Struthio camelus: one gene and its partners. The protein of the gene in region 3 interacts with the protein of the main gene of each other region in a pairwise test. Links are inferred from orthologs where the notes say so. Each region holds a gene or a part of one and is shown on either strand. Other genes may lie near its edges.

The links.
Region 1: the proteins of TSEN54 (region 3) and TSEN2 interact in a two-hybrid assay, tested with the Homo sapiens proteins (2 studies listed by BioGRID and IntAct). The two-hybrid records come from large-scale screens. The link is inferred for Struthio camelus from reciprocal best matches to the Homo sapiens genes TSEN54 and TSEN2.
Region 2: the proteins of TSEN54 (region 3) and CLP1 interact in binary tests that used the Homo sapiens proteins (3 or more experiments, as listed by UniProt). The link is inferred for Struthio camelus from reciprocal best matches to the Homo sapiens genes TSEN54 and CLP1.

What each region holds. Positions count from the first base shown.
Region 1 is NC_090955.1:20,025,418-20,033,434, forward strand, and holds the start of TSEN2 (tRNA-splicing endonuclease subunit Sen2), read right to left. Parts: upstream 3,083-8,017; 5' UTR 2,974-3,082; intron 2,949-2,973; exon of another isoform or gene 2,932-2,948; intron 2,874-2,931; exon of another isoform or gene 2,692-2,873; intron 2,076-2,691; exon of another isoform or gene 2,051-2,075; 5' UTR 2,035-2,050; coding exon 1,861-2,034; intron 1,051-1,860; coding exon 969-1,050; intron 231-968; coding exon 194-230; intron 1-193.
Region 2 is NC_090946.1:7,501,620-7,509,295, reverse strand, and holds the start of CLP1 (polyribonucleotide 5'-hydroxyl-kinase Clp1), read left to right. Parts: upstream 1-4,608; 5' UTR 4,609-4,767; intron 4,768-5,199; 5' UTR 5,200-5,210; coding exon 5,211-5,816; intron 5,817-6,989; coding exon 6,990-7,661; 3' UTR 7,662-7,676. Other genes in the region: SERPING1 (plasma protease C1 inhibitor), read left to right, coding at 1-128, 903-1,045, 1,523-1,742, 2,775-3,025. UniProt on the Homo sapiens protein: Polynucleotide kinase that can phosphorylate the 5'-hydroxyl groups of double-stranded RNA (dsRNA), single-stranded RNA (ssRNA), double-stranded DNA (dsDNA) and double-stranded DNA:RNA hybrids. dsRNA is phosphorylated more efficiently than dsDNA, and the RNA component of a DNA:RNA hybrid is phosphorylated more efficiently than the DNA component.
Region 3 is NC_090960.1:8,480,304-8,487,404, reverse strand, and holds the start of TSEN54 (tRNA-splicing endonuclease subunit Sen54), read right to left. Parts: upstream 3,001-7,101; 5' UTR 2,945-3,000; coding exon 2,916-2,944; intron 2,658-2,915; coding exon 2,499-2,657; intron 1,214-2,498; coding exon 1,150-1,213; intron 1,007-1,149; coding exon 923-1,006; intron 1-922.

The DNA of each region.
Region 1 (8,017 bases), on a different chromosome or scaffold from region 3:
CGCTGAAATACCACCTCATCTATTTGTAGTTTTTCCTAATGTGATTTATAAATACAAAACAAAGAAAATAAATAGTAAGTCATCCACATCTGTATAGCCAACACTGAAAACCAGTCTGATAAAACAGAAAATAGAATCATATGCTTCCAAAGGAAAAAAAAAAAAAAAAAAAGAAAAATGTAGATGAACTTACTTTTTTGATGCAATGATAGGCAGGTTTATGTTAGTACCTATAAAAAAAAAATCATATATTGTTTCATTAATATAACTTTTTAAAACTATTGATATATTCTGTGGCATAATAAGCATTCATATCTTCAACACTGTATGCAATTTTGGTTTCGTTTCTATTCTCGTGAACACAGCAGAACTAGAAAAACTACAGAGGTAACAAAGATGAAAGAGCTTCCAGAAGAGGAACAGCTAAATACACTACTTTTTTCCAGCCTGTAAAAAGACAATTGCAGGAGGATATGGTAAAAATCCATTCATGTCTATGGTGACTTAAAAGTGTCATTGAGAAGATGGATAAGGAATGATAGTCTTTCTATACATGAACAAGAGCACATCACAGGTAATTACTTACTAGCAGATTCAAAATTTCACATACCCTTGCCGCACAGTTTTGAGGACACTAAAAACTGCTGATCAGAAACAAGAAAAAAATGGATAGTTATTGGGAAAAAAGTCCAAAGATGCTACCTTGACTTACAAAGGTCCCAAACAGCAAATCAGTGTAGGATGGAGAATGTACTAAGGAGTTATCAGTTCTGCTTTCCTGTTTTTTTTTTTTTTTTTTTTTAAACCTAGGCATCTTGTACTGGCCATCATCAGACACAAGGTAAGGGGACAGACACAACCTTGGTTTGACCCAGTATAGAAATTATTTTTGCATCTTCAATAAACAAGGAGAAATAAAAAAAAATACTATTAGAACAATGAGGAAAGTAGAAACGGGTACAATTTACCTTGCCACTTCGTAATCAGTAAAGGATCTGAAACGCTGTACATTGGTCGACTTCTTGAAAGAATACCTTTACCAAAATAGCCCTTCAAAGGAAAACAAAAATCTTTATTATATCATCAGATAAAAAAAACAAACGTCTTTCCAAATGATCAAACCTTTTCTACCATGATTTACTGAAACAGAATGAAATCATGCAGCATCTAAACTTGGTCTAAAGCTTGTTGCTTAGCTTCTGATAACTAGTCCAGTATTAAACACTTCTACTCAAATATTTAGCCAGTGGAGGACTTTAGGTCTTTTCCCCCAATTCTAAATATCTTTAAGATTAAATCTCCAAGCAAAACACCCTCCCCCTCCCCCCAAAAAAAACACCCTACCTGCGCATTAATACTGTGACAATGTGTAATAGGAAACAGGTATGGATAAAGTTATTGCATAAGAATGGCAACAGGTAATTAAACGTACCTAGATGTAAAGGCTTAATGTAGCTTATTTTACTCAAGACACCACACTGAAGTTAAAAGAATTATATAAGTACATTTAAAACACTGATATTACAACCTCCTGACCTTGAATAACATGAAAATGCTTTTGCAAGGTTGTATAAAATATGAGCAGGATAAATAAACATAAGAGACATTAAGTCTTTGCATCTGTTTTTTAGATCATGATGCCACTTCATTCCAAAACATATTTACTGGGCTAAAAATGAAACACTTTCCATATTTGATACAGAATATATGTTTGGTATTTATTTCAGAAGAGGAAGGAGATATGGAGGATTACTAGAGGCTAAAGGGGAAGGAAAGCAGAGAGGGAGGCCGATTTTAATGAGTATTTTTAACATACATGGAGCAGAACACTAGAAACATTGTGCAAATAGGGTACACCACCTTGCTATACAGCTGTTCAATATCTTCAGGGTTCCTCACAACAACATTGTTGTTAATAATTTCAGCCTGGTATATTCTGAAATCCTTGCCATCTACATCCACAGGAAAGGGAGATTCATATGACTCAAAAGTTCTTCTTTTCCTTCTTGGGGGTTGGAAAACAGCTTCTGCCATTTCCTAATATTTTCTTCTAAAGAGGAGAAAAATTTATTCTTCTAAAGAAACAAAACATATGTAGTGTTCAAGAATTACAGTTCACCCACTTTTACGTGTTTCAACAACATCTCCTCCTCAACAGCAAATTAGCAACAAGCCTACAGTATAATCCAAGTTTAATTCTGGAACTATTATGCCAGACAAACATAACAGAACAACTTCCTACAGTGTTATGCGCTACTCTGCTTTTCTTTGGCATTGCAGGGTCTTCTAAAGAGCAGGTATGGAGAGTCCTCGGCAAGGAGGGAACTTAAGATCGAAGGCAGGTGCACACAGAGGCAGCTGAAAGCGTTTTCAGGAATAAAGCATAGGTGAACAGCAGAACAAGGAGAATAAACAGAAACCACAGCACACAAGCGCCTAAACATAAAACTGCTTTGAATAATTACATGAACGAATTTGGAAAAAAAAAAGCAGCGACTGGGCAAGCTTTTCTTCTTTAAAGAGGCAAACCCTCTAGAGAGGGGAACGGGACACGGCAGGAGGCTTTCCGACAAGCCGGGCGGCAGGTAAAGGCCACCGTGACACGCGCACCCGCCGGGGCCGCCTTTTTACGTCTGCACGCCGCAAAACGGCACGAGGAGAGCACCGCGCGGTGGTGAGCGCCACCCTTACCGGCCCGCTCGGGGCGGGGGGAGCCGCCCTCACCCGGGGCCGGGAGGTCAGCCGATAACCACAGCCACACCGACCCGCCCACGCAGCGCGCGGCGCGGCCCGCCCGGGGCGCGGTGCTCGGCAGCCGGGCAGGGAGCGGGCCCCGCGGCCTGGCACGACCCGGCCCGGCCCGATCCGACCCCGCGGCCGCCGCGCCTCCGCCCGCCCGTCGCCATAGCGCCCGCCCGCCGCCGCACGCACGCACGCCCGTCGCCACGGTGACCGCCTGCCGCACGCACGCACCCGCCGCCGCCGCACGAGGAGAGCCGCGGGCTGGCGGGCGCCGGCAGGCCGCGCGTGCGCACGGAGCCCGGGCCCGAGCCCGCCCCCCGGCCCCGGCCCCGCCCCCTCTGCGGCCGTTGCGGCGGCGGTTGGCCGGTGGGAGGCGGTTTTGGGTGCGTGTTCGTCGCGCGGAGGCGCCGGCGGGGCCGGCTGGGAGCGGGGCGGCCGCGCTGTTCGGCTTCGGCGCGGCTCGGCGCTGTGAGGGGGCTGCGGGCCTCTGCCCCGAGGCGCGCGGCCGTGGGGGCGGGAGGTGTTCCTCAGGGCCCGCAGGGCCCCCGGCCTGGCGCAGAGACCTCCCGTGAGAGACTCAGAAGTAGGTTCCCTGTGAGAAAGGGAAGGCCTGGGCCCTGCGGGGGCGTTCCCAGGCTCCTCTGCCCCACAGCTCTGGGTTTGTAGCTGCTGCCAGCCTTGATACTGCGGTAACGGCTGCAGCCCGCAAACCGTCCTGTGCTGGCAATTTAAAAACAATAAAAGGAAGAGGAAATGACGTTTTTGAATGGAACACCCATTCTGGAACGAATGATGAGCTGCATAGTGAGGGACATTTGAGATACCTGGGTGGGTGAAATTTTACAGCCGTGGGAGGTGAGGGGAAGATACCATTTTCAGCTTGAAGCAATTGTTTTTGGCTGAGTAACAAACCCTTGACATTGCAGTGACTCGTGACTACTTAGGATAATGCAATACTACTTACACAACTTTAACAGAGATTGTGATTGTGCAGCTTATTACCAGAGTTGAATTCAGGGCAAAAAGGTAGTATAATTAAAGAAAAAAAAAAAAGCATCTTACCTGAATAAGATGAAAAGCATTCTCACTAGTAAGTGAGAGCAGACATCCCTTTTTCTGTTGTGATAAACAGTGAGCTGTTGCCGGTTTAGGCCTTGTTAATCAAAATCATAATGACAAATGCAACTACGACTGAGAAATCTTTTTCTTATTTTGAGGTTATATTGTGAGGGTCCACTAAAAAAAGAGGATGAAGAAATTTTAGTTCCAGGAGGATCGACTAGCTCAATAATTTATTATCATTATGGATAATTTCCCTTTACTTTAGCAGGCTATATGCTCTCCGGTGTATTTTAATCTCAGAAGGCCTCCTTTCCGTTCTCACTTGATGCTAGGCTCTCAGGTGAAAAATGAACTCATGCAAAAATCACATCACATTTCTGGAGTAATCAAAAAATCTGGGCTGTGCAGAGAAGTTGCAAAGCTTTGGTTGTTACCAGTGTCCAGGTCATCTGAGTTCAAAGTACAGGTTTATTTTTCTCATTTAGAAATGGAATTTATCATACAGATTTCTCACACTTTTGTTTCAACATGAAATAGAAACATCTGGGAACACAGTGAACGTAAAGTTCAAACTTCTACATTTTCTGTGTGAAACAAGCATATTATCTCTGATTATTAAATGTAGTCCTAGTAGATGAGATTTCATTAGTCTCATTTTTATATTGGCTGGTTATCAATAGATCAGTGAATTCACCTATGAAAAATGGTAAGACTACGTCACCCTTATGAGGTAGTGAGTTTCTGTTATTTCTGTTTTACAGACAGAATTGTGAGGCTCAGGGGGAGATGTAACGATTACAATGTCACAAAGGAAATCAGCAGCAAAACATGGGAATACTAAGCTGGTATTCTTACAGTTATTTCCTACAGAGGTCTACTTCATGTACCGTCTGGTGAGTGTTAATTTGTTTTGAACGTTAGTTCATTTACCAGGTGTTGAGGCTAAACCACAGGGACCCTGTTCCATTCTTGTCCCCAAAGTATACATTAATGCTCTGATAACTTCAGGTTCATTCTTAGAGCTCTGCTATTAAAATAGCTGTGAGTTAAAGCATTCTAGGTAACAACATGAAAATAAGCAAATATCAAATATGCCACTTCATTTCAAAATTCCATGTAGATTTGCCAAATCAAGTTGCTTTAAATGAAAGTAGAATTTATCTAGGATAGATATGTCTATATTTTCTTGCTGTGCAGACATACTGCAATGAGATGTACATTACAATGAGAGGTAGACACAACATAAAAAAGCTATAGGTCAGTTGCCTTCCTCCACATCTCATTATCTTCATACAGCCTTGAGATGGAAACCGCAGCATTCCCCATTCAGTCAATTAATTGAATCACACTCATATTTCTTCAAACAAATATGCAGACTACATAGCTGCTCCCATTTGTTTTCTGATTATAAGCCCAGATTGTTCTTCAACCAGAAATTTTGCTATCTGAAGGTCAAATTCTCTTTGAGTCATGGCAGTATTTTTTTTTTGAATGTATCAATAGTTGTACAGACATTTTCACAAATATCTGGATTTCCCTTTTATAGTGAGACAGCAAAAGGCTAAACAGCAGCTAGATGACCAGGCAATTGCTCTGAAAAACAAACCCTTAAGATTATAGTGAATCACAAATTGGGACCGAGTCAACAAATTGAAAAAAGGTATCATGCTAGAACTTATATACAGGAGTGCCATGTGTAAGATATATGAAGCAATTCATCAGTTCTGTGCATCACTGAGAGGACCTCAACTGAAGTAATAGGTCCAGTTATAAGAACAGTTCAAGATAAATGTAGAGCAATTGGAAAGAATCAAGAAGAGTGACAGGGGTGATCTATGAGGAAAGACTGAACTAACTCAGGCTAGAACTCTACTTTTTCAGGCTAGAAAAGGTAGAAGTGATAAAATAGACCGTTGCAAAGAGGGACAAAATGCATTGTTCTGCGTGACCACTACAAAATAATAGTAGGAACAAGGAGGTTAAATGGCAACAAGAGAGATTGAAGTTAGACAAGAAACAACTTTGTACCTATGAAGATAGATCAGAACTGGCTTTACCTAGAAAGGTTGTGTTAGGCCCCTTATTGGAAATTTTTAAGAGCAAGTTGGGCAAACATCTTCCAAGAACAGTTCAGATAAAGTTGATCCAGCCTTGAGACAAGAGACTGCCCTAAAAGGTCTTAAGATCCCTTTTATGGGAGTCTTCAGGATTCCTCATTCCAGGAGCTTATTTGATTTCTCTGCAGTTCAGCAGAAAATACAAAACTATACTGCTCTAGAGAGGCTGAAAGCCTCCAGCTTTTGTTAAATCATCTTTTGGATTTCCATTTAACAGTCTTTCAATTTCTGAATGTCTTTGAGAATACACTATTTCATTTTTGTGTGTTGCTTATCATTGCTTCTAATGCAAAGAGTACTCTATTGCTTACCATTTCCTCATACTCAGTTATTCTGTTGATCTGAATTATTCTCTTGAATTAAGGTCCAAACCAATATCAGGCTTCTGAAAAGGCTGATATGACCCTTTCTCCAAACCATGATGAGAAAAACCATTTGTAACCCTTCAGTTCTAGAAATACGTTGCCTTAAACTTTAATACAATTGCCTTTCCTGTGTCATTTTCAGTTGTACATTGTCTGACTCCCGATGTCTTGTTATTCACATTGTAATACTCAGAATTTCCTACAAAATTGTCCCATTTTGGGGACGCTCATGCCAGTTCATACACAGTAGTCCCTTTGTACTAACAATATTTGTTTCGTGGAAGAAGTTGCTATCTCCTGCTCTATGTGGTCGTAGAATTTCTTCAACCACCTCTCAACAGTCAGTGGTTGAGGAGTACAACTGAAAAATAGTTACAGTGGAAGGACATGCTGTCAATATCATGCTTATTAAACTCTTTCTGTGACCATGTATGTAGTAAGATCTTTCCTAATCTGCATGGTTTAGTGTTTGCAGTCAGGTACCCTCAGCCTTTCTGCAGTTTATGGTGTCCTTCCCCAATAACAGTCATATCAAAGTTCATCTGGAATCATACAGAAGAAATACGTTCTGTTAATACAGTGAGAGCTCATTTAATGTTGTATTAACCAATATTTAATATTAACTAATATTTAGCAGCTAATATTATGTATTTTTTATGCTGCAAAGAGTCTACCTTTCATCACTTCATTTAGCTTGGCGGTTTGGAACAATCTGATGAATAAGAAGTCCCAGGCACTTGTACCTCACCGATAGTAAAATTAAGTTGTCATATGCAGGCAAGTGCTAAGGAGTTTGGTTATCAAAAGTGGTTGTTTTCTGGATGTTTGGTGACTTCTATAAGGACTTGGGAGGTTAATTCCCAGTTCTCTCTGAGCCAAAACATACAGGCCAGGTACTCTTTAAGTACATATTTTACGTTCTTATCCTTATTAAAAGAAACAGAAATGCAAGCCTGTAAAACTATTTGCCTATGTAGCATTTTCTTGTATCTTCTCAAGGAAGTTAGTCATAAGGTTATAAACAAATAACCTATTCTAGTAGTGTCTTTAGTTAATTTTGGATTTCATACAAAAGAAATAAAAGTTTTGCATAAAATCCCATGGAATTGAAGTCAGGATTTGTCGTTAGGTTCATTTCTTTCTGTGGTTTCCACAGAATGTTTCTGTAAAGTTTTCTTAAGCCGTGCTTCTTGTAGTCCACAAGAGAAATGTTATGACACTTTCTTTAAAATAAAGCCCATTCCTTTCTCACAAGGTGATTTGAACAGTAGTTGGAGGATGGGCTGAAGTTATTTACATTAGCCAGTTCCAGTTTCCCCAGACTGACAGAAATTCCCATGGAAATTCTGGTTGCATTAACTTTGACAGAGATATGGGACTGTTTTCGGAAACTTGAAAAAAAACAGCTAGGGAATACTTTTCATTTTTATTAATATATGGTATCTTCATTTTGTTTATTAAAGAAATAAATCAAGGTTAGTTTCTGCTTAGTTTCAGATGGTTTTCACAGGAGACAAAAAAAGAGACGTTGGACAAATATTGGCCAAGCATCAACTCAGTAAGAAATCCCATAATGTCAGAAATCCCGAGGTGGACCGCAATAAAGTGAATAGCATGAGAAAAGAGAACATTAAAAATACTTACTTCAGGCATGGAAAATGCTTTTGTATTCGTGGAGTTTAAACACACTTCGATGAGGAATTCTTACAGAGACATTTGATCCAGCTGACA
Region 2 (7,676 bases), on a different chromosome or scaffold from region 3:
CGAGAGCCTCGACCTGCTGCGCATCAACAAGTGGGTGCGCGATGCCACCCAGGGGCGCCTGCCGCGCCTCCTCGACGAGCTGCCCCCCGACCCCCAGCTGGTGCTGCTCAGCGCTGTCTACTTCCAGGGTACGGCCTGGCCTGCCACTCCCGGGACCTGCCCTGGGACCTGCCCCGGGACCTGCCCCGGGACCTGCCCTGGGAACCTCCTCTGGGATCTACCCTGGGACCTGCTCTGGGGATCAGCCTTGGGATCTGCCCTGGGAACCTCCTCTGGGACCTGCCCTGGGACCTGCTCTGGGGCTTGGTCTTGGATCTGCCCTGGGACCTCCTCCGGGAGTCTGCTCTGGGACCTGCCCTGGGATCTGCCCTGGGACCTCCTCTGGGAGTCTGCTCTGGGACCTGCCCTGGGACCTGCCCTGGGACCTGCTCTGGGGCTTGGTCTTGGATCTGCCCTGGGACCTCCTCCGGGAGTCTCCTCTGGGACCTGCCCTGGGACCTGTCCTGGGACCTGCTCTGGGGATTGGCCTTGGGATCTGCCCTGGGATCTGCCCTGGGGATCTACTTTGTGACCTGCTCTGGTACCTGCCTTGGGATCTGCCCTGGGACCTGCTCTGGGAATCTGCTCTGGGACCTGCTCTGGGGCTTAGCCTTGGGATCTGCCCTGGGGACCTTCCCTGGAACCTCCTCTGGGAATCTGCTCTGGGACCTGCCCTGGGACCTGCTCCGGGGCTTGGCTCTGCCATTGGCCCTGGCATCCACCCTAGAGCCTGGCCTTGGGCGAGCTGCGGCCCGTGCGCGGCAAGTGTCCTCGGTGGCGCGGAGGTCCAACAAGGAGCCCCCCGCCCTGGGAGCCCCCCGCGGGCGCCCCCGCAGCCTCCCGTGGCCGCCCTGTCCCCACAGGCAAGTGGCAGACGCCGTTCCAGGTCAAGGACACCATGCCGCAGCCCTTCCTGCGCCCAGGGCGCCCGTCCGTTCTCGTCCCCACCATGACCAGCAAGAAGTACCCCGTGACCTCCTTCATCGAGCCCAGCCTGCGGGCCCAGGTATGGCCTCGCCTCCCGCAGGGCCTGCAGCAGCCATGCTGGGCCGTGACCTCATTTCCTGCAGAACCAAGCAGCGGCCATGCTAGGTTATGACCTCATTTCCTAAGGAGCCAAGCAGGGGCCATTCTGGGTTGTGACCTCACTTCTTGTGGAGTATAGCAGCAGCCATGCTGGGTCATGACCTCACTTCCCATAGAGCCCAGCAGCAGCAGCCATGCTGGGTCATGACCTCACTTCCCATAGAGCCCAGCAGCAGCAGCCATGCTGGGTCATGACCTCACTTCCTGTGGAGCCAACTAGCAGCCATGCTGGGTCATGACCTCACTTCCCATAGAGCCAACTAGCAGCCATGCTGGGTCATGACTTGGCTGCCTGTAGCAGCCCGCGGGGCAGGCAGCGGCCACGGCCGGCCGCCCCCTTGCAGAGCACCGCACTGCTGCTGGGGGACGCCAGCGCTGACGTCCATCCCTCCCGCAGGTGGGGCGGCTCCAGCTGAGCCAGGGCCTGAGCCTGGTGCTGCTGCTGCCGCAGGGCGCCCTGGGGGCGCTGGAGGCGCTGGAGCGGGCGCTCAGCCCCGCCGCCTTCCTCGCCCTCCTGCACAAGGCGGCCGCCATCCCGCCCCGGGCCACCGTGCTGGCCCTGCCCCGCTTCCGCCTCGACCTCTCCCAGGACGTCATGGCCATCGTCCATGAGATGGGTGAGTATGACCCCCCCCAACCTGCGAGGGGTCATTATTTTCTGGGGGGGGGAGGCATGACATCACTTCCCGTGCAGGAATTAGCCCGGCATGACATCACACCCTGTGCAGGAAGTGATGCCCCCTCCAGGAGGGGGCTGGCACCTCCCAGGCCCTTGACCCTGCATGGCCCCGTGCAGCTGCCCCCTCCCCTGTCCCTGGGGCCCCCCTTGTCCTCATCCCCCCTTGGTGCTCCTTGGTGGCCCACAGAGACCCTCCGTGTCCCAGGGTTCCTTGGTGCCCACAGCGTCCCCCCCAAGCCCTCCTGTCCCTTGATGTCCCCTAGTGCCCACGATGCCCCCCCGACTCTTCTATCTCTTGATGTCCTCCAGTGCCCATGGTGTCCCTCACCACCCTGATGCCCCCAATGTTCCCCCCTCCCCAACTCTTCTATCTCTTGATGTCCTCCAGTGCCCATGGTGTCTCTCAGCACCCTGGTGCCCCCAATGTCCCCCCTCGACTCTTCTATCTCTTGATGTCCTCCAGTGCCCATGGTGTCTCTCAGCACCCTGGTGCCCCCAATGTCCCCCCTCGACTCTTCTATCTCTTGATGTCCTCCAGTGCCCATGGTGTCCCTCAGCACCCTGGTGCCCCCAATGTTCCCCCCCCGACTCTTCTATCTCTTGATGTCTTCCAGTGCCCATGGTGTGCCCTCAGTATTCCTGGTGGCCCAATGTCCCCCAGCACCCCAGTGTCCACTGATGTCCCCCAGGGCCCACAACGTCCCAGGTTTCCCTTGCTGTCCCCCAGCAACCTGGTGTCCTCAGTGCTCCCAGTATCCCTGGTTTCCCCAGTGCCTCCTGGCATCTTGGTGTGTCCCCAGCATCCCCGGTGTCCCCGGGTGCCCCATGTGTCCCCCCCCCCCCGGTGTCCCCAGTGCCCCCGGAGTCCCCAGGTTCCCCAGTATCCTCCTGCGCTCCCCGGTGTCCCTGTGCCCCTGGGTCCCCCGGGGTCCCCCCGCCGCGCGGCGCCGCCTGACGCCCGTCCCCGCAGACTACGGGCTGTTCCTGGACGCGGAGCTGTGCGGGCTGGCGCGGGGGCAGGCGGTGGCGGTGGACACGGCGCGGCACCGGGCCGTGCTGGCGCTGGACGAGGCCGGCGTGGAGGCGGCGGCCGCCGTGGCCACCTCGCTGGCCCGCACCGCCCACGTCCTCGAGGCCCTGCGGCCCTTCCTCTTCGTGCTGTGGGACGACGCGCGCCGGCTCCCCCTCTTCATGGGCCGCCTCAGCGACCCCCGGCCCTGACGCCCGTCCCCCCCACCGGCACCCGGTTCCTCCGGCGCCCGTGGCCGGCCCTCCTGCCCGCCGCTTCCCTGCCTCCTTCCTCCCTCCCGCCCTCCTCCTCTGCCTCCTTCCTACCCTCCTCCTCCTCTCCCTCCTCTTTACCTTCCTCCCTCCCTCCTCCTCTGCCTCCTTCCCTCCCTTCCTCCTCCCTTCCTCCTCCTCTGCCCCTTCCCTCCCTCCCTCCTCCTCTGCCCCCTTCCCTCCCTGCCTCCCTCCTTCCTCCCTCCCTCCTCCTCTGCCTCCTTCCTACCCTCTTTCTTCCCCTCCCTCCTTTCCTTCCCTCCCTCCTTACTCCATTCCCACCTCCCCACCGCCTTCCTTCCCTCCCCCCTTCCCACCCTCCTCCTTCCTTCTCTCCCTTTCTTCCTCCTTCCCTCCCTCCTTCCCACCTGCCTCCTTCCCCTTCTCTCTCCCTTTCTTCCTACCTCCTCCCCTCCCTCCTCCCCTTCCTCCTCTCCCTCCTTCTTTCCCTCCTTCCTCCCTCCTTCCCACCCTCCTCCTCCTCCCCTCCCTCCTCCCCTTCCCACCCTCCTCCTCCCCTTCCTCCCTCCCTCCCCCCCCAGGGCCTCCATTTCCCTGCCCAGCCCCAATAAAGGCGCAGAGCCCCGGGGGCCACGCACGCCTGGCGCTTTCCTAGAAAAAAAGCCTTTATTCCTGGTACAAGGGTGGGCCGGGGTGGGCCGGGGTGGGGGGTGACGCCGCCGGGTCCTCACTCCCAGCCCTTCTCCTTCACCATGTGGGACGGGGAGAGGCGCCATGAGCGCCGGTGGGACAGCTTTTCGGGGAGCTGGTGGGCTCGGGGGGTGGGGTGGGGGGGCGGCACTCATCACGGATTTCCAGCCCAGGGTGGTCTTGCAGCAACAACAACAAAAAAAGGGGCGGGGGTCAAACGGGGAGCACCGTGCCCAGCACCCATCGCCCTCCTGCATCCCCCCCCCCGGCTGTTACCCCCCTACCCTGCTGCCGCCACCAGCTGAGACCGGCCCAGCTCATCACAGCAGTGGGTGTGTGGGTTGGGGGGGGGGAGGTGAAAGCGGACGGCCTCCCGGGGCCCCGTGCTCACCGTCTCGTCCCGGCGGCGGGGGGGGAGGGGTCGGAATCACGGTCCCCCTGACGTCACCGCCCGCGCTATGACGTCACCCCGTGCCATGACGTCACCGCGCGCCCGATGGCCCCGCGGCGCTGGCGGGACCCCACGCCCCGGCCGCACGCAAATCAAATGCAGATGAGACCCGGGGCAGGGAAGGGAGGGCGGCATGCAAATGGCATGCAAATGAGATGCAGATGAGCCCGGCGCCTTTCCCACGGGGCCGCGGGCACGTTCTAAGGAGATGCAAATGGCATGCCAAAGAACGCGTGACGCACGGCGCGCGCGGGGAGGGGGAGGTCCCAAGCCTGACATGCAAATATATGCAAATGAGCCGGGAGCGCGATCGGCCCCCGCGGGGCAGCGCCCTGGACTACGTCTCCCAGGGGGCGCCGCGCGCCGCCGCGCCTGCGCGCTGGGGGGGAAGGGGGCCGCGCGGCCGCCGAGGGGGACGCGTCACCCAGGAGGCGCCGCGCGCGGGTGCCCTGGCAACGCCCCCTCCGACTTGCCCCCTCATGGGTCCGGCGCGGGGTCGCCCGCGTGACCTCACTTCCGGCGCGGCCTAGAGACGCCCCCCCGCGGGGGCCGGAAGTGCGCCGGCTCCGCGAGCGCCCCGGTAAGAGGGTGGGGGGGGAGGCGCCGGGCCGGCCACGGGGGTGCCCCCCCCCCCGCGCCTGGGGCAGGGCGAGACCCCCGAGCCGGGCCGGGGTTGGGGCGGGGACCCCCTGGAGCGGGCCGGGGGAAGCCTGGGGGCCCCCTGGAGCGGGCCGGGGACTCGCAAGGCGAGTCGGGGCCCCCTAAGTGGACTGGGGTCCCCTGGAGCAGGCTGGAGACCCGCGAGTCGGGCAGGGGCCCCCTAAATGGGCCGAGGACCCCCCCCCGGAGCGGGCCAGGGATTCCCAAATCCGGCTGGAGGAGGGTCGGGGACGCTGAGGTGGTGCGGGCAGAGCTGGGGCTGGGTGGGGGGAAGGAGCAGGGGCAGCTCCCCCAGCAGGGCTGGGGAAGGAGCTGCCGTGCCCCGCCGCTGACAGCCTGCGCTGCCCCGCAGAGGGCCAAGCGATGGCGGACGATGGCGGCGACGAGAAGAAGCAGGTGGCCAAGTTCGAGCTGGAGCGGGAGACGGAGTTGCGGTTCGAGGTGGAGGCCTCGCAGACGGTGCAGCTGGAGCTGCTCACCGGCATGGCAGAGGTCTTCGGCACCGAGCTCACCCGCAACAAGAAGTTCACCTTCGACGCCGGCGCCAAGGTGGCCGTCTTCACCTGGCACGGCTGCACCGTGCAGCTCAGCGGGCGCACCGAGGTGGCCTACGTCTCCAAGGACACCCCCATGCTGCTCTACCTCAACACCCACACGGCCCTGGAGCAGATGCGCCGGCAGGCGGAGCGCGAGGACGAGCGGGGGCCCCGCGTCATGGTGGTGGGCCCCACGGACGTGGGCAAGTCGACCGTGTGCCGCCTGCTGCTGAACTACGCCGTGCGCCTGGGGCGCCGGCCCACCTTTGTGGAGCTGGACGTGGGCCAGGGCTCCGTCTCCATCCCCGGCACCATGGGGGCCCTCTACATTGAGCGCCCTGCCGACGTGGAGGAGGGCTTCTCCCTGCAGGCCCCGCTGGTTTATCACTTCGGCTCCACCACGCCTGGCACCAACATCAAGCTGTACAATAAGGTGAGTATGGGGGGGGGGCCCGGGGGGGGGTCTGGGAACGGTGCAGCCCTGCGGTAGGGCCCGGGCACGGGGCTGCACCGCTTTTGGAGGCTTTTGCAGGTTAAACCCTGAGCAACCTGATCTGGCTTGGTAGTCAGCCCTGTTTGGGGCAGGGCTAGGGCTAGGGCTAGAGCTCCCTTCCGCCTTACTTATTCTGGGAGACTCTGATCTGTTTTGCTGCTACGTAAAACCATGGTGCGCTTCAGTGTCGTGCCTGCTTCCGGGCGCTCCTGCTCAAGAAAGACGTTGTGAAGTTTGAGAAGGTGCAGAGAGGCGTAACTGTATCAAGGGGATGGAGTAGCTGTGTTAGGAGAGACTAAGAAGGCCGCAGCCTTTCAGTCCAGAGAGGAGAGGGCTGAGGGAGTCTGACGGGTTTACAAAATCGTACAGCTGCTAGGTGAGCCAAACGGGGAACTGTTAGTCACCGCAGCTTGCAACAGAGGAAATACGGGACGTCCGATGAAACCAGCTGGAAATTGGTTTAGAGCAAATAAAAACAAGCTCTTCTGTACACAGCTGTCACAGCAGGCTGCGGAGGCAGACAGAATCGGCGGGGTCAAGAGGGACTTAATGCATTCGTGGACAGCAGGCCCATAAATAGATGTGAAAAAGGGTGGGCAGAGATGTACTTTCTACCATCCCTACAGCTGCATGGGGAGCTGGGTAGAAATGGACTGCAGAAGGTGACCAGGCTCACATGTCCTCCTTTAAAAAAAAAAAAAAAAAGTGTCTGTCATTGCCAATGTCTCTTGCTGTTTGGGGATAGAAGCTTCTCAGTTGCTCCCCTGAGCCTTTTACCCAGTCAGGACCAATGTGGTCCTACTCACGTGCTGTGGCTTTGAGGATCTCAAAGGAGGCGGCAAGCGTAAGCACAGCAGGGGAGATATCTGGGATGCTGAAATACTGTGGTAGCCCAGCTGGGGAAAGCGTGGAGGGGTCAGAGTGCAGAGCAGCAACGGATCCCGTCTCCTCCCTGTTCCTCCTCTGCCAGAGAAGGTGTTGCCATCTTGTCTGCTCCGGGGCTCCTAATGGCAGCAGCCCTGAGAAGGGGGTACAGGTGGAAGGGGGATTCAGCTCCTGGCGTGCCCGAAGAGATCTCTCTGTCCTAATATTTCTGCCCTTTCTTCCTCACAGATCACATCCCGCCTGGCAGACGTCTTCAACCAGCGGTGTGAAGTGAACCGCCGAGCGTCGGTAAGCGGCTGCGTCATCAACACGTGCGGCTGGGTGAAGGGCTCGGGGTACCAGGCGCTGGTGCACGCCGCCTCTGCCTTCGAGGTGGACGTGGTGGTGGTGCTGGACCAAGAGCGGCTCTACAACGAGCTGAAGAGGGACCTGCCCCACTTTGTGCGCACGGTGCTGCTCCCCAAATCCGGTGGGGTGGTGGAGCGCTCCAAGGACTTCCGGCGGGAGTGCCGAGACGACCGCATCAGGGAGTATTTCTACGGCTTCCGGGGTTGCTTCTACCCCCACGCCTTTGACGTCAAGTTCTCTGACGTCAAGATCTACAAGGTGGGGGCTCCCACCATCCCGGACTCCTGCCTCCCCCTGGGCATGTCGCAGGAGGACAACCAGCTCAAGCTGGTGCCGGTGACGCCGGGGCGGGACATGGTGCACCACCTGCTGAGCGTCAGCATGGCCGACAGCCCCGACGACAACATCTCGGAGACGAGCGTGGCCGGCTTCATCGTGGTCACCGGCGTGGACCTGGAGCGCCAGGTCTTCACCGTGCTGTCGCCTGCCCCTCGCCCGCTGCCCAAGAACTTCCTCCTCATCATGGACATTCGCTTCATGGATCTGAAGTAGAAGCAGAAAATAGGG
Region 3 (7,101 bases):
GTTTATGATCTATTGTCAAATTACCAGAGACATTTCTCCAAGCAGGGGAGCGCTGAAGAGCAACTTGGTCTCATTCCCCTCTCAGCCACATTAGCTTTACTAATTCTTGTCAGCTTCTTAGAGAAGTACAGAAAAACAGACTGCTGTCGAACTTGTGAACCTTGTTACTGCAGAATACGTAAAATATGTTGGATAAGGGAGGAAATCAACTTATGACAGAGCAGGCACTGACCAGTCTCCTATGTCCTCATTACCAGTATACCATATCTGAGGAAAAAGATTTCTCATTGTCAAATCTTTTCCAATTTACCCCTGCAAGAGACGGTAAGATACTGGTGTGACCTGGTTTCCAGAAATTCCCAGAACACTGAGTCTTCCTAGATTGTGGAAATCCAAGCCCTGATACACAGATTTGGGTAAAGTAGTAACTGATATATAAATACCTGTGTTTTATCACCCTCACTAGGCAAGAAGAGAAATCTCAGCAGGAAACTTGGTAAGTACGTTCCTTACGCTTCCTTCCTTCTGATAAAAGTGCTGACTTACCACTGTTATTGTAACAAAAATTCCGATCATCCAAACACCTTCCTAGATTCTGTTGTCATGTTGACATAGGAGTGGGTTCAACTTGATACCAGCTGGATAACCTGGCCACAGATCCAACTGACATCCAGTGTCAAGGACACAAAGAGCATTTTAGAGTACTACATACTCCATGGCCTGCAAACAGCTCCATCAACTACCGGGCTAAAAGAGACAGTCCCAGGAGAACCAGGTGTTTATCAGCTACTCAAACTGCAGGAGTGACCAACATCTGTCAAGTGATTCCAGACTTCACTCTAAAAGTGTCCAGCTACCAGAGTTCCTTCAGTTATTCAGGAAGAACCCAGGGCCCCCATCCACGCACGGGCATCCTACTTACACACTCCAGCAGATAGAGAGCTTCCTCGGGCAGCAGGCACTGTTTGCCATGCTCTGTGAACCCCATGGTGTGCCAGAACTTCCCCTGGAACAAAAGCACAAATCTGTGATGGGCTGTGGACATTCTTTGCTGACAGCCAGGCTCTCTCCCATTTAAGAAGCAGATGAAGGAGTCTGCAATCGCCAGCTGGAGATGAAGGTATTGAGGACATTCTGCAGCAGACTCACCGCAGGGGACTGCAGCTCCACGATACCCTGTCCTGGCTTCCACTCAGCTTTCACCAGATTGCCCCTGAGAAGGTTAAAGATTAGCTTGTTATTACCAGCAGATGTAACACAACCATCTCCTGTGGTAGCAACGCAACAAGTGCAGGAAGGTGTCGAAAGGCAGCAGACTTCCAGCTGGCACTTTTACAGAGCAAGGCCTCAGAAAGACCTCATCCTCTGGATTTAGCAGTATTCATTAAGGATTTTATCACCAACTGGTTAACAGTGTCTTAAAACTAGCACCACAAATGTCTGCCCACAGACACAGAGGCCTGCTGGAGACGTGGGGCCCCAACTGATCCATAGTATATCATACAAGATTGTTCAGATGCTGCCAGGACAGAGTCTCAAATTGCTGTATCCCACCCACAAAGCAAAGTGCACGGCCTTGTAGGGAGAATTTACTAGCAGAGAGGAAACACAGGGTGACTTTGAAGACGCACATTTTTGGTGGCTGGATCAAGGAAGCAGGAGATGAGACCTGTGGGGCCTGCCATGGGTTTGCTCTGAATCCTTGGTCAGTACCACAATTTCCAGCACAGCCGCAAACGTGCAGTTACACACGTACTTAAACAAATCTGCTTCTGACCACAGCGGAAGGAAGGTAACAGTGCACCCCGTCTGTCCTGCCTGTCTGCTGGAGGTCCCCTTTCTCAAAGCAACATCCTAAAGGTCCCTGCAGTGTGAGTTTGCCTGAATGCTTTTTAGCAACTACTGACTGGTGTGGATGGAGAAACTAGTTACCAGAAAAAAAGCAGGCCAAAGAGAGGAAAAGCGTGTGCTGAGAGCGTGTGAAAGTCTCCCAGGAACTGATAACTGAACTTCAGAGACTGGTAGTGCTGTGGGATCTACCAGAGCTGATAAACCCGGGACACCGGGAGTCAACCAAATCCGTACAAGGCCACAGACACACACGAGCATCAACAAGGGGCTGTACAACTTGAACTGCATCTGCGGGCAGCAGCTGCCACATGCAGACCTGGACTGAAGGACTACGTACGCGCCTGAGAAAACTAGGGACCCTTGGAGGAGCTTTCTGAACGCCTCCCTGGAAGCCACTGGCGTACCAGCGTAACCCTCTGCCCGGAGGGCACAGCCGGGGCGGCTGCTGCTCCGGCTAGGGAGCTACGAGCGAGGGCGTGAGGGAGTTCCCTGCGTTCACAGTTATCAGCTCCGTCCTCGTGAACTAAGCCAGCTCCGTTAATAACGGGGCGATCCACGCCCAACGGCAAAGCAGCCGGGGCAGGCACTGGCTCCGCGCCTCAGCCCCGCCGCCGGGCTCCGCCGCCGCCGCCGCCGGAGACACTCACAGCCGCTCGACGCGCTCCTCGCAGAGCAGCTGCCATTGCTCCTCCCGGCACCGGCGCAGCTTCTCCGCCTGCTCCTCGGAGCCGTCGGGGGCGAAGTCCTTCTGGCCGTGCGAGCGCTGCGGGGCCTTGCGGGCGCGGGCGGCCAGCAGCTCCGCCGTGCTGCGGGCGGCAGAGGGGGCGCCGTCAGGCCGCCGAACGCCCCTCACCCCCCGCCCCGACGGCGCCCTCCCTGCAGGCCGGGCCCGGGCAGAGCCACCCGCCCCAGAGCGCTGCGGTGCGCTCCCCCCCGCCGCCGCCGCCGCCGCCTCGGCCGCCTCCCCCCGCCCGGGACCCCCCACCCGCCCCGTCAGGGCCCCGGGGGCGGAGGCGCGCGCACCGCCCCTTTCAGGCCCGTCCCGCCCTCGCGGCCCCTCGTACCTGAGGCGGCGCGAGCCGCCCGGCTCCATGGACGCGCGCGCCGCGGGCAGCCGCTTCCGCCGCGGCTCCGCAGGGTCCTAGCGCCGGGCGGGCGGGGGGGGGGGGTGCGGCGCGAGGGTTAGCGCGCCCCCTGCGGGGCTGGGGGACTGCGCGGCGCGGCAGGCTCGGAGCGGCCCGGACCGGCTGGGACCGGTTGGGAGCGGCTGGGAGCGGCGCGGCGCCGCCTCAGGGTCTGGCTCTGGGCACCTGAGGGGGGTCCTGAGGGGCGCGGAGCCGTGCGCTGGAGCCACGCACCGGCCTCACAAAATGTGGCTTGTGAAATATGCGAGCACCGTCGTTATCCTGAAGAAAACTGCCCCGGACACCGGGAAGTTGGCTCGCTGCTGCCCGCCGTTTCCCATAGACGTCGGTGCTGCTGCGCTGCCCGCTCGTGGCTCGTCGGGTCCTCCTCAGTGCAGTGGCGCTGGACCCTGCGTGCAGGGAAGAAACAGGCCCCAAGAGGCCGAGCAGGGGAGTGTCAAGGCCTGCTGCTGCTGGCCCTTAACCAAGGCGCTCGGAGGGCCTTGCCCATCACCCAAATTCAGTCCGTGCCCTCTCGGAGCGTACGGATTCAGCGCCAGGATTTTGGCAGCAATGTTCGCGTGGCCAGCGGTGATTTTAATTCCTGGGGTTTTAGCACTCGCTTGCAGTCAGGTGTGCCAGCCAGACTGGAAATGTAATTTAAGGAAGCCGGCCTCTGTACAGCGCCAAGCTTGCTCAGAAAATAACGCGTCAAGGGCTTTTTGACAACCTACAGAGAGGATGTTGATTCAGAAGTAATCAGCTAGCCCCACGTATAACCTGGCCGTACCTCAGCACGCCTGCACACAGATGGGCTGACGTCTTGTACTTAATAATGAAGATTCAAGCAAAGGGGGCAAAGGCCGATAAAACTGAAACCGTGCCAAACTGCTGAAATCACAAGCCTTGCTTGTGGATTTATTTTAAAGCTGCCAACAGCAAGATTTGCTGAGCTCTTTCGCTGACTGTTTCAGAGCCACCAGCTGCAGCTGTGCCTGGTTCACACCTGAACCGGGGCAAATTTGGGCACTTTTTGTGCTCCAGCCCCCTGAGAACAGGCTCTGGTGCCATGGGAAAGTGGTTTCTCTCTTCGGCAGGTGTCACTGTTTCTTCTGATTTGGCCGTAAACGGAGGCCAGCGGGGTGTCCTTGCAGCACGGTTTCGCTGAGCGTGCAGCCAGGCTGTAAAACTAGAAACCTGGCTGACGAAGCTGTATTTGCTACTGAGGGAGTGCATGAACTAACCTGGCAGGGAGGCTCACCAAAGGTTCAAGTTTCACCTCAAGCCTGCGTCTGGTTGCTGTGGGATAGCTCGCAAGAGTCAGTTACCCTCAAGTAAGAAAATTCCCCACCAAAGTCCTTGGTTCCCCCTGCAGTTTCTCCATAATAGTACTTGGACAAAATGCCAGCATAGGGGAATGAATGCAAAAACCGTTCCTCTATATTTTCCGCTGAATGGCTTAATTTTCACTTCCTACCTTATTATTTCCCCCTCAATGAACTGACCCTTACACCTCCTGCAGGACGGTGAAGTTATTTTGCTCGTTGTTGCTAGTCCCCAGTACCTGGGGGCAGGTCATGGGGGAGGAGGGCTTGCGGCAGGGGGCACACAGCTCAGCAGAGGGCCCCAGGGCATCTCCTGGCCCCATTAGGATGGGCGAGGGGGGCTTCCCATGTGGCAGCACCCACCAAGCGAGGGCTCTGGGTGCCACCTCCCAGGGCCAGCCCCCACCAGGCCGCAGCCCACCAACCCCCCAGGAGCCGTGGTTTAGTCATTTCAACCTAAAGGAGCGAAGCCAGTGACTGAACACAGAGATTGTGGAAAGCTGCAGCACTTTCCCTCCTTGATTTACTAAAAATATGTATTTTGGAGGACATTCTGCCTGCTTGATTTTAACATAATCCTAGAACACCACATACTGTTGCTTTCAACTTACAGGCTGTCACCCCTTTGTTTAACTCAGTCGTCCCTTAAAATAGAAACGTTTAAATTGCTGCAGCAAATACTCTGATCCAGAATTTGCTTTTGTCACTCGCTGTGATTGCAAGACCTAGAAATGTCAAGATTAATTTCAGTGTACGTTTCTGCTCAATACTAAGATTTGTAGCTGTCACAGGAGGTCTTGTTCCTCCCCCCAGGGGCACCAACACGGCCTTGTCCCTAGGGGACTCCTGCTCTCCCCAGCTGGAGCCTCTTAACAACCCCTAATTGGCCAAGTCTCAGCAGCTGGGTGCAGGTGAGCCCGGTGGGGCTGTGCTTTCTTCTTGTGCCTTACAAATGAAGAGTGAGATGGGAGGGAGAGAGGGAAGGAAGGAGAGGGTGTTTTTTTTCCTCTCCCTACCTCTAGCAAGATATTTTTCTGTTTCCAAGTTTGAATTTCTGATGGGAGGTGTTTATTATAGCTACCTCAAAACTAGGACTGTGGTGCAGCTCTTTTCCTTGAGTGGGGGATTTTTTTTTTTTCCTCCTTACCTTACTTGGGACCTTAGTGAATCCTCTGTGGAGAAGCTGTGCATGGCAGAAAAGTGTAAAAATGGCTAATGGCCTGTGCTGGATGGGGCTTTTACAGCATTTCAAGCCTCTCTGTGGCAGTGTTGTGAAAAGATGGAAGAGTTTAAAATGTTCTCCTTTGAGCTAAAAATGGTGGGTGAAAGAGTTTGGCTGCCGTGAGGAGGCAATTGCGTGGTGAAAAAAAGAGGACTCTAAGTGAGGGGTTGCTCTGGTGAGGCTTTTGGGCTGCAACGTAGCTAGGCGTGAGGCCAGGGAGAGAGAGCTCAGGCCTGTGGCACCAGAGCCCCAGCTCACCACCCTGGTGCCCAGCCAGCGAGGGGCTGGGGGAGCTGGCACCGGGGCTGCTCCCCCAGGGGTGCTCCTCGCCCCATGGGAAAGCTTCTCCAATTCATCTGGAGAGATGAAACGCTGAATGTGCCAGTGCCGTGAGATCTTCCAGGAGCATGGGTTGGCCCGACGTGCTCGCAGAAAAGGTAAACTGTAGTTGTTTTGTGTTTGTTGTTTTTAATTTTGAAACTATAAATTGTAAAAGGGCTATTAGGGCTGAAGGTGTGAGATGGACACCTCTGAGCAGCAGCTAGTTGCTAGGTCTCGTGTTGCCATCTAGTGAGAGCAGCCTGGGTGCTCTGTGCAAGCTGGAGCAGAGGCACTCTGGGGCCAGCAGGTTTTGACTCATGATCCCTTTCCAGCTTCCCCCCCCCCACACACACTATATCCAAGTTATGTTTGTGCAGTCCTTGTAATCACAGGTCCTTTGCAGTTAACTCTTGGAGGAACTTTGTGTAAATAGGCAAATAGTATTTTAGGAGAAAATAGTGTGAAGCGTGGACTTGAGATTGCTTTCTGGTTTTGTGTAATGTGCAAGGCAGACCCAGGTGGGAATTGCAAGCTGCCTGCTGTATACTCAAGCTAAGCTGCACTGCCAGGTACAGCTGCCTCCTTTAATCCCTTTGTTTAACAAACCCTACAACACCTGAGACAGTGTTTGGAAATATCTTAGTAACTCTGCAGAAACCAGCTGTGCCTCAGCTGTTTGTGGTTCAGACTTTATCTATACTCTGATAGATGGTGATGTTTGGAAAACAGGGTGTCTGAGATGGGTAACGTGCTCTGTCAGCTTCAACTTTGTTGCAACCTGTGAAGCGCGTCCTTGTACCACAAGATTTTGGGCTCAAATGCTCTGTGTAATCTGGGACAGAAATGGATGTTTTGAGCTCTGTGAGCAGGCTACTGCTTGAATTCTTACGTGAGTTGAGATTACATATGGTGTTACCACAATCGCTTAACTCTATGTTCACATCTCTGTGCAACAACTCAGTTGTCATGGGTTAGCAGTAGCTCAGCATACAACTGTCTAACTACTATACTTTAAATATGTTTCTCAGCAAGCGGGAAAGTATCTCAAGAAACATATTTAGAAACATATAAAGAAACATATTTAACTCCTAGGTTGTAGAGACATTTTTAAACTGCTTATAGTAGGATATATGAAGGGAAGGCTTGGCAATCACTTTAAACAGAATTTGACAGACCTTAAATATACCTTGAAGTACTTGATTTCATATAGAAAGCAGATAATAATGTCGGATGTTATAGTATCTCTGTGGGGTGTGGG